Cricetulus griseus: one gene and its partners. The protein of the gene in region 3 interacts with the protein of the main gene of each other region in a pairwise test. Links are inferred from orthologs where the notes say so. Each region holds a gene or a part of one and is shown on either strand. Other genes may lie near its edges.

Region 1 (2,745 bases), on a different chromosome or scaffold from region 3:
GTAATATGCTGGGTTCTGTATTCTAATTTGTCTGTGCTAAAAATTGATGTTCTCTTGACAAATTCTATCACTTTATTTTTTTGCTGTTGTTTTTTGCCTGGTTTTTGGAGTAGGGGTTCTTAACAATGAACCCATGACCTTGCACATAAGACTAAACACACATTTTTCCACTCCTAAGAACAGCTGTTTTCAGGAACCTCCTGGGTCACTTCTAACCACGAGCTGGCCAAGCTACAGAGTGATCATTTCCTTAGGCAAGCAAAGACTCCGGGCCTTTAATTTGGTATTTCCTGGGGCTGGAGTATCAACAGGAAGTCTTGTGGATAAAAGCTCTGCCAAAACATTCATTCCGAGAAAAGGACTGGTAAAGTGATAAATCTGCCCAGCTTATACAACATCCTGCAGCCTCCACGTGAGGCTCCTGCGGCAGACCTCACGCCTACAATCCTATTCCGATTCTTTCTTAGGGTTAGAAACCTCGGCAAGGGTATCATCAGACAAAAATTTGCACTTAACAAGGTGGTCGGGACATTTATTGGCATAAGGAAAAGGTTTCTTTAAAGGAGGGAGTGAACACTTAACATTCCCGTAGCCCCGTTTCATATATAAAAACAAAACAACAAAAACACCTGAACCCAAATCTGTAGCAGTCAATCCTAGCTCAAGATGATAAAGCCAAGGAGAAAGGGGGTAACGTCCTTGCTTCTACACCACAAAGTGACGACCTAACAATCGCCAGTGCAGTACAAAACTGCTTCCCACTGACTCGCAAAAAAAAAAAAAAAAAAGACAGTCATTTAATTATCAGTCCAAATTCTAATAAAAAGTCCCAGAACTCAGGGGCTATTCTCCCCATGCCGGGCTCAGTGACCTGTAGTTGTGAAGCCTCGGGGAGAAGGCTCGCTAGGCATCCAGATCAAAGTCATCGCGCTCCTCGTTGTACTCCAGCACGTGCCGCTTGATCTTGGACGAGTCCACCCAAGTGACAAAGTCCTCCATGCTGCGAGTGACGAGAAAGGCGGGATCGGTGACCACGTCTGGGCCCACGCGGACGTGACCCTGCTCCACAAAGGCCACGGCAGCCTGAAGGTGCTGAGCCATGCGTAGCTTGAGGAGCAAAGTAGGCAGGCGGCGGCGGCAGAAGGAGGAGGCTGAGACCGAGTCGCAGAGCTCTAGTGAGCCGCGCGTGGGTACCAGGCCGAGCGCGTACAGCTTGTCCAACAGCGCCGCCGAGGCGCGCACACGGAAGGGGTCGCGTTCCGGCAGGTCGCGCAGGCGCCGCGCCAGTTCCCGCACCGCTCGGCTCAGCTGGTTATAGCGCGTGTACTCCTCCCGCCGCTGGAGCCCGTACCGCCGCAGCACGCGCAGCTCGTGAAGGTTGTGGTCGGTGACCTCCCAGTTTAGGAAGTCCACCTGCTTCAGCAGCTTCTGCTCGTGGAACTTAAGCTTCCGCACCATGATGGAGACTGCCAGAGAAAGCGGAGAGCACGCTGAGAAAGCAGCACAACTTCCGCCTCCGCGCCGGAAGACCCCGCCGCCCAGACCCCTGGGCCAATAGAAAGAAAGCTACGACCACGCCCCCGTATTTCATTGGTCAGACTTAAGAGCTTCCTGTTTGGAGAGGCCAGCGGGAGGTCGGAAGGGCGTGTCCTGCGAAGACAGCGTGAGCGTCTTAACCGCCTGGGGGGAAGTCGTATAGCCTAGTGCTTCAGAAATTTTGTTAGATTTCTTGTCTTTGGTGACCCTGAAGAGAGTTCCCCTCAAGAGCTGGAGACGTCAGTTTCGGGAGAGAGGAGTAACGGCTAAAAGATGTAGTTAGAACCGTGCGAATTTCTTCGCTCCAGTGGTTTCTAGAGCTGGCGAATAGTCCCACCCCGGTCAGCAACAGGTCTGTCACTGGACTGGGGAAAGGGATTCTCCTTGCCAAGCAGTACTGAGCAGCACTAAACCTATGGCATGCCGGTTTCCTGGCCGATTACTAGACTCACGTAATCAGAGTGGGAAACACCCTGACATCTGGCTTTTACTTTTTTGAGACATCGTGTCTTCCCTAGGTAGCCACGAATTCGCCGTAATCCAACCCGCCTGTCTCCCAAAATGCTGAGTTTACGACCATGAGCCACTACGGTCGTCTTTTTTATTTTGTTTGTTTGTTTGTTTTTCGAGACAGGGTTTCTCTGTGTAGCTTTGGAGCCTATCCTGGCACTCGCTCTGGAGACCAGGCTGGCCTCGAACTCACAGAGATCCGCCTACCTCTGCCTTCCGAGTGCTGGGATAAAGACCGACGCCCGGCACGGTCGTCTTTTTTATTATTTTATTTATTTTTTATTTTATTGAGACAGGGTCTCTCTATGTGGACCTGGCTGTCCTGGTACTCTATGTAGACCAGGCTGGCTGTCCTCGAACCCAGAGCTCCACCTACCTCTACCTCTCGAATGCTGGAATTAAAGGCTTGTTTCTCTACTCCCAGCTCTTATTCTAGAGACAATTCTATGTTACTCAGGTCAGTCTGGAGAGTATGTTTCGGCAGTCCTCAGTGGTTCACAATATGCACCCAATATGAGGAACTCATTAAGTACAATTCAACCCATCGTCTGAAAGAGCTGAAAATATCTTGTCTGGCAAACTCTTGCCCAGAACCCCCGCCCACCCAAGCTCAAGAATATCTTCCAGCACAGTTCCTGTCTGAAATCACAGAAGCAGAACTGAGGTCAGAAAATGTCTACTGAACCCCCACCCTGATAG
Region 2 (3,655 bases), on a different chromosome or scaffold from region 3:
GGGGCATGCCTTTAATCCCAGCACTCCGGAGGCAGAGGCAGGCCGATTTCTGTGGGTTCAAGACCAGCCTGATCTACAGAACTAATTCCAGGACAGGACAGCCAGAACTGTTACACAAAGAAACCCTGCTACACAGAAACCCTGCCTCAAAAAAAAAAAAAAAAAAGAGGGAAAAGAAAATTAAACTAAGTAAATATATAGACCAAGAGTGACTCCAATTGCACCCTTGTTCCTTTTTTGCAGTACTGGCAATTGGGAATTGCACATACTAAACAACTCTACCCAGCTATATCCTCAGATGCATTTTTTTTTTTTTTTAACTTACAAGAAGGTCAAGGATCCAGGGTGTGAGAGGCTCAAAGCCAGGAAAACGAATCCTCAAGTCCTTCAGCAATCTGATGAGAACTTTAACCCTGTAAGAGACCCATAGGTTAGAGGTAATAACACCATACTGGTATTTCCACACTTAGTCAAAGATGACTATGCTATTTAGGGAACTACATATACAGTGCCCACCAGCTGGCTCAGCAGAGAAAGGCATTTGTTCTTAAATCTGACAAACCTGAGTTCAATCCCTGAGACTCACATGACTATGACCCATGTATGTGCCTATGCACACATTTGCACATGCACACATACATACACTAAAATAATCAGTACGTCTTCCTTCAATCTTGTTAGGTGAAAATCAAAACCCAGACATCACTTCTGAAACTTCTGTCAGAGGAAGTAGGGGTGTGTACTGTTATTCTTGATGGCTAGATCATAGGCCAGAACCACTACACTCCTCAGGAAGGGTTATCTTAATCAAATAACCAAGGAGACTCACGTGGACTGAGAAGCGTTTTCTTCAAACCAACGCGCATGCCGGATGGCCGCTAAGGCACTCTGCAACACTTTGATGTCCACTGAAGACAAGTACAAAAGGCTAAGAAACTTTCCTACTAAGTGTGCAATAAATTCAATCCCAATACCAGTCCGAGTGTGGCAAGCCACTTGTCTAAACACTATTGTTTCTCCCCAGCCAAATCTTTCCCAATAATCTATTTCTCTTCACAAGTATTTATACAAGATTTTACTTTTTATCTTTTTCTTCAAGATTTTTCCTCTGCAATCCTTTTTAAGGCTTTGAAAATCTCACTAGGAAGCTGTAAAACTATTCACAAATTAGGGAGAAAGTAAAATTCTTTCACAGTAAATACTAAAATTTCCAGAGATCTTCAAAGCTTTGGCTGTCTCTCTGCCACAAATGGAGAGAAAAGACTTACAATGCAGTTCCGGATCCAGTTTTCGGAGATTGGGTGGCACCGTTGTAATGAGAATTTTCACCGTAGCATCAGAAGAACTAATTTCAAAGCCAGTTTCATTAGTCAGCATGGTCAAAACTAAAAGAACAAAATAATCAAAATATGTAACACATATTTGTTCTGTTTTGCTTTTATTATATTTATTTAGAGCATGTGTGAGTGGGCACATTCACACACCTGTAGAGGCCAAAGGATAACCCTTTAGGAATCAATCAGTTCTTTACTTTCACCATTAGGCCCCAGGAATGAACTCAGGTCATCAGGCTCTGCCTGATGCCATCTTCCTGACCTGTTTTGGTTTTGAGACAAGATCTCATTTGGCTCAGGCTGCCTTCCAACTACTGTATAGCCAAGGACGACTTTCAACTGATGATTCTCCTTCCTCTACCTCACTAGTCTAACAAGCATGTATAAGCATGTGCCACCAAATATAGTGTATGTAATGCTGAGTACTGATCTCAGAACTTCACACTTGTTAGATGTGTACCCTACCAACTATAAACATGTTAGTGTGTATATAGTTCAGGCTTGCCTTAAATTACCAATCCCCCTGCCCTAGCTTCTCAAATATGGGGTTATAGGGTGTGCCACACCTGGTTTAACAGGTGGGTTTTCTGGCAGTGGGTTATTTAATTTTTTTGAGGACAAGATGTATATGTATGTATATATAGCAAACTCCAAATACTCTATTTGTGCTCCCAAGTACTGGGATTACAGCATGCACCCAAAAATCAATCAATCAATCAATCAATCAATCAAGAGCCTATACCAGTAACTGGAAGGTGGCAGCAAGGAGATCATCAGGAGTCAAGACCAACTGACATAATACCCCATCTCAAAAGGTAGGGGAGGGACAGAACAACGGGAAGAGACAAGACTGATCACCTATCATGTATGAGGCACTGTGTTCAAATTCAAGCTAAGGGTTATTTCTGAATTATGGAGTTTTAAAACAGAAATCTCTGCATACCTATCTATGGTCCTAGCACTTGGGAGGCTGAGGCAGGAGGAATGTAGTTCGAGGCCAGCCTGGGCTATAGAGTTAAGTCTCTGTCTCATAACCCATCCTTCATAATAAAATAAAATAAACAATAAATACCTGAGACTCCTGCTAAACTCTGACTTACATGGACCTGACTGTTTATAAGCCCAGCTGCTATTGCCACAGCATAGATATTCAGAGAAAACTCAAACCTTCTGAGGGATCCTGTGCTCTCAGGCTTTCCACGACTTTGTTCCCCAGGGCAGCAACAGCTTCCACTAGATTGGAAAAAAAGAACAGAGTGACTGTTACAGTAATGTATTTTGTGTAATTTCTTCTATCAATAAGCAAATTGGCATTTCCATTTCTACCCCACAGACTGAAGATTATTCAACTAGAATGAAGACTCTTGCCAGGGAGAATGAAAGCTTAGAAGTCTCAAGCAACAATCCCCAGGTACACACATCTTTTTACTTTATTTTTACTTTAGGGTTTCCTTGTGTAGCCTTGGCTGTCCTGGAACTTACTTTGTAGACCAAAATCAAGAGATCTGCCTGCCTCTGCCTCCCAAGTACTGGGATTAAAGGTGTGCACCACCACTACTCAGCTTATATGTCTTCTTTCTACAGCAGTATTTGCAGGTCAGTGGCACTTAAAGAACATGTGGGCTGGGTCATTCTCTTCAGTGAGGACAGGGTCTGCCTTAGGTGTTCTAGTTGTTCATGAGCACACCTGGTCTCTTTCCCTATTGATGCCAGTAGCACTCCCTGGCTGAGATAATCAAAGATGTGTCTAGACACAACCAGTGTCTCACAGGGAGCAAAACTGATTCCAGCTGATGGATGTGGACTGCAGTACTGGCCATAACTTCTAGACATGCACTGCAATTTGTCCTTTATTACTGCAATTGCATTAAAAAATAAAAAAGCCTGGTGGTGGTGGCACATGCCTTTATTCCCAGCACTTGGGAGGCAGAGGCAGATGGATCTCTGTGAGTTCAAGACCAGTCTGGTCTACAAGAGCTAGTTCCAGGACAGCCTACAAAGCCACAGAGAAAGCCTGTCTCGAAAAACCAAAAGAAAATATAAATAAATAAAAATTAAGAAAACACCAAAGAGCCTGATGTGATTGTAAACACCTTTAATACCAATACTCTGGAGGCAGGGGCAAGCAGATCTCTGAGTTGGAGGCCAGCCTAGTCTACATAGTGAATTCCAGGATAGCCAGAGTTATGTAGTGAAACCCTATCTCAAATAAAGTAAAATAAATAATAAATTTACTATTTTCCTTCCACACATGCACACTCACACATGAATGAATGAGTGAATAAATAAACAAATAAATAAATAAATCTGAGCTTTAATTA
Region 3 (3,655 bases):
TTTCACCACCAGAAAAAATAAAACTGTCTCATGGTGTTTGTTATCACATTACTCTTAGTCATCTGCCTGGCTCTGCTTTATAACCCTTTTAGCGTGCTCTCTGATGCTACTCCTGGGACAGCAACAGGAAAGCAAACTCTATCTGTTCAACGAGAAACAGAGCCACAGCAAGAAGCGTCTGAACTTAAAGAGCAGCACTCAGCAGTAGGACGCTTGGATGGCATGCCTTGGGCTCAATCCCCAGCACTGCCAGAACCAAACCAAACCAAACCAAAAACCAGTATGAAGAATGGCAAAAAGTACCAAAGTCAATATATTGATGATAATAAACTATGTATTATTTCACTTAAAATCTTTATAGAAATTAGTTATGTAAGGCAAAGCTGGAAGCTGGATATGAGAGGCCTTTTTGCTTCAGCCAGCTTACTTCTACCCACCTTTTGGAATCTCAGACACCTTTTGGCATGCTACCGAGACACTATTGCAGGAAATAAGGTCACAGTTCTCAGTGCTGGAAAAAGGAATTAATAAGGACACATCAATAACCACAGTCTCCTAAAATTGTCTGCCATGAGGGATAATATATAACTTGACTGTTAGGGTCAATTTTTCCTCCCTGAGTCAAGGAAGCCAATTAACTGCCATCCCACACTGAGGCACTGATACCTCTGAGATGGAGAGATAAGCACTTCCAGGAGCTGAGCCATGCCATCCACAACGTCCAAAGTAGCATTCCGCACCAGCTTTCTCAGGGTGATCCCTGTAGCCAAACCCAAACAGTAAGTAGCCTGGTCGTTTCTCATGTCACAACTTGTTTTCTGGATTCTTAAGTGTTACAGAATATGAGGTAACAGATACATACATACTTTACAGCACATACCAGTGCAAGACTCAAGTCTTAAATTCTTTTTTGGGGGGCAGCAGGGGTTGGTTTGTTTGTTTTTCGAGGCAGGGTTTCTCTGTGTAGCTTTGGAGTCTGTCCTGGAACTAGATCTTGTAGACCAGGCTGGCCTCGAACTCACAGAGATCCACCAGCCTCTGCCTCCCAAGTGCTGGGATTAAAGGCGTGCGCCATCAATGCCCGGCTCCTCCTGCCATTCTTTAGAGTTCTTCTCCAACAGTTTTATTCTTTCCATGTGTGTTCATTCATTAAGGACACTGGTCCTTTGATAATTGTGGACAAAACACTGTAAGTTTAAAGCATTTGTAAGTAACCCAGATGAACTATTACATGTTTTCATTTATTTTCTCATCATAACTTCAATAAAGGTAGAAATCTACAGGCTAGGCTAGTGGGCACTTAACTTGTGAAGAGTCTACAAACAGAGTATGATGCAATGCAGGGTGGAGGAGGACAGGGATGGCCTTGGCATGGGTATGGAGCTGGGATTTAGCAAGCATGTATAAGAAAGAAAAGTGAATTAGGGGCTGAGAAGACAGCCTATTTGATAAAGCGTCAGTCACACAAACATGACAGCTTGAGTTTAATTCCCAGAACCTACATGAGAAAGGCAGACAAAATGGAGTGTTCCTATAATGCCAGTGCTGGTGAAGCAGAGATAGGAGGCTTCCTGGGCAATCAGTGAACTCCAAGGAAGACTCTCTCAAAACACAAGGCACTGATTCTACACGTACTCACATGCACATCTGTGAGCACCTGAATACACACATGCACCTATGTGTGTGCACACACACACACACACACAGACACAAATAATGGAATGTTTTTTATAAAGACATGCTTCAGCACTTAAGAGTACTGGCTGCTCTTCCAGAGGACCCAGGATCAATTCCCAAATCCACATGGCAGATCACATTGTCTGTAATTCCAGTTCCAGGGGAAGCGATACCCTCTTCTGACCTCAGCAGGGACCAGACATGCATGTGGTGCATAGACACACATGCAGGCTAAACACCCATACCCATCACATAAACAATAACTTTTAAAAATAACCAGTGGAGATGGCTCAGCAGGCAAAAGAACTTGCTGCACAAGTGTGATGATCTGAGTTTAACACCAGGAACCCACAATGGAATGAGAGACCCTTTTACATACCCACATCACCCACACCCACACCTTTTAAAGAATCAGGTAAAGTAGTAACAATAGGAAACCACAGGTGCACAGCATCTGTACTTTAGCATAACAGACTGCTATGAGATCACTCACATTATAAAATGACCTTTGAGTATATTAGGGGAAAAAGTCACATGCTCAAAACTGAAGACAATAGACATGTATAATATGTTTATAAATAAATATATAATAATACATTGACGATAAGCATATATAATAATGTGATGGGGAATGTCCTTCTGTATGCTGTGAATATATGTTTCTCTTATTGGTTAGTGAATAAAGCTGTTTTGGCGAATGGACAGGCAGCAAGTATAGTCAAGGCTACCAGACTAGGAGAATTCTGGAGAGAAGAAAGCAGAGGGTGGCACGGGAGATGCCATGTAGCCATCAGGAAGGTAAGTTGCCCAGGCATTCTCTGGTAAGCCAAAACTACATGGAGATAGATTAATAGAAATGGGTTAGTAATTAAGAGAGAGATAACCAATAAGAAGCCTGAGCCATCAGCCAAACAGTTTATAATTAATGTAAGTCTCTGTGTGTTTATTTGGTACTAAACAACTGCAGTACTGGGTGGGACAGAAACTTCCGTCCACAATGTTTACGATGGGCTTTGGTGGCGCATGCCTTTAGTCCCAGCACTCGGAAGCAGAGGAAGGTGGATCTCTGTGAGTTCCAGACCAGCCTGGTCTACAAGAGCTAGTTCTAGGACAGCCTCCAAAGCCACAGAGAAACCCTGTCTCGAAAAACAAACAAACTAGCAAACAAACAAAAAGATAAATAATGTTTACATATAGCAAAGATCTAGCCTATAAAATGCAACACTACTGTGTATACACAGTGACTTACCCTGATTTTTAGGAAGTGAATAATATACTTCAATAATTTCCTTGATGCCAACATGAATTTGCTCACAGATCCTCTGGGTTTCCTATGAGGTGATGGACAAATTCAGAATGAACAGAGCAAATGTTCAATATCAATGCTGTCAGCCTATTTACTGAAGAAGAGATCAAATACCTATAAAACATGAACAAATATTTTCTGAAAGCCTATGGAGTACTCATCCCACACTAGAAAGAAATTAGGCAGATACCAGACAATTCAAAAAAGCATTACAAAATGAAGGAAAACCTCATTTCTGCTATTTAATATCTTAAGCAATCATGTTGTGCCATGAGATAATCACTGCACTTAGACCAGTAGGAAGCAAATTATAGCCCAGAGGCTCCCCCTAGGCTCACTGGTGGGTTTTATATATGGAGTGTTACTAGGACACAGTCATGCTCATTAATTTACAAGCATCTAACAGTTGTACTTGTATTACAAGGGAAGAGTTAAGCAGTTGTCCTACAAAGCCTAAAATATTCAGCACCTGGTCTTTTGTTGAATACAGCCCAACTACTGAATCAGGCAATTACTACGTCTTTGCTTGCTGTCATACAATTTATCTTTTTTTCTTACTGCCAAATTGCTCAAGACTGTGGTTCTTCTTAATGCTGTGACCCTTTAATACAGTTTCTTATGTTGTGGTAGCCCCAACCATAAAAATATTTTCATTGCTAATGTTATGAATTA

What was found.
Region 1: the proteins of Ccndbp1 (region 3) and Imp3 interact in binary tests that used the Homo sapiens proteins (3 or more experiments, as listed by UniProt). The two-hybrid records come from large-scale screens. The link is inferred for Cricetulus griseus from reciprocal best matches to the Homo sapiens genes CCNDBP1 and IMP3.
Region 2: the proteins of Ccndbp1 (region 3) and Ilf2 interact in a two-hybrid assay, tested with the Homo sapiens proteins (2 studies listed by BioGRID and IntAct). The two-hybrid records come from large-scale screens. The link is inferred for Cricetulus griseus from reciprocal best matches to the Homo sapiens genes CCNDBP1 and ILF2.

Annotation. Positions count from the first base shown.
Region 1 is NC_048597.1:168,459,887-168,462,631, reverse strand, and holds Imp3 (U3 small nucleolar ribonucleoprotein protein IMP3), read right to left. Parts: upstream 1,511-2,745; 5' UTR 1,459-1,510; coding exon 904-1,458; 3' UTR 505-903; downstream 1-504. UniProt on the Homo sapiens protein: Component of the 60-80S U3 small nucleolar ribonucleoprotein (U3 snoRNP). Required for the early cleavages during pre-18S ribosomal RNA processing. Part of the small subunit (SSU) processome, first precursor of the small eukaryotic ribosomal subunit.
Region 2 is NW_023276806.1:64,067,437-64,071,091, forward strand, and holds part of Ilf2 (interleukin enhancer-binding factor 2), read right to left. Parts: intron 2,568-3,655; coding exon 2,502-2,567; intron 1,386-2,501; coding exon 1,269-1,385; intron 909-1,268; coding exon 830-908; intron 414-829; coding exon 326-413; intron 1-325. UniProt on the Homo sapiens protein: Chromatin-interacting protein that forms a stable heterodimer with interleukin enhancer-binding factor 3/ILF3 and plays a role in several biological processes including transcription, innate immunity or cell growth.
Region 3 is NC_048599.1:57,426,092-57,429,746, forward strand, and holds part of Ccndbp1 (cyclin-D1-binding protein 1), read right to left. Parts: intron 3,009-3,655; coding exon 2,927-3,008; intron 761-2,926; coding exon 667-760; intron 512-666; coding exon 438-511; intron 1-437. UniProt on the Homo sapiens protein: May negatively regulate cell cycle progression. May act at least in part via inhibition of the cyclin-D1/CDK4 complex, thereby preventing phosphorylation of RB1 and blocking E2F-dependent transcription.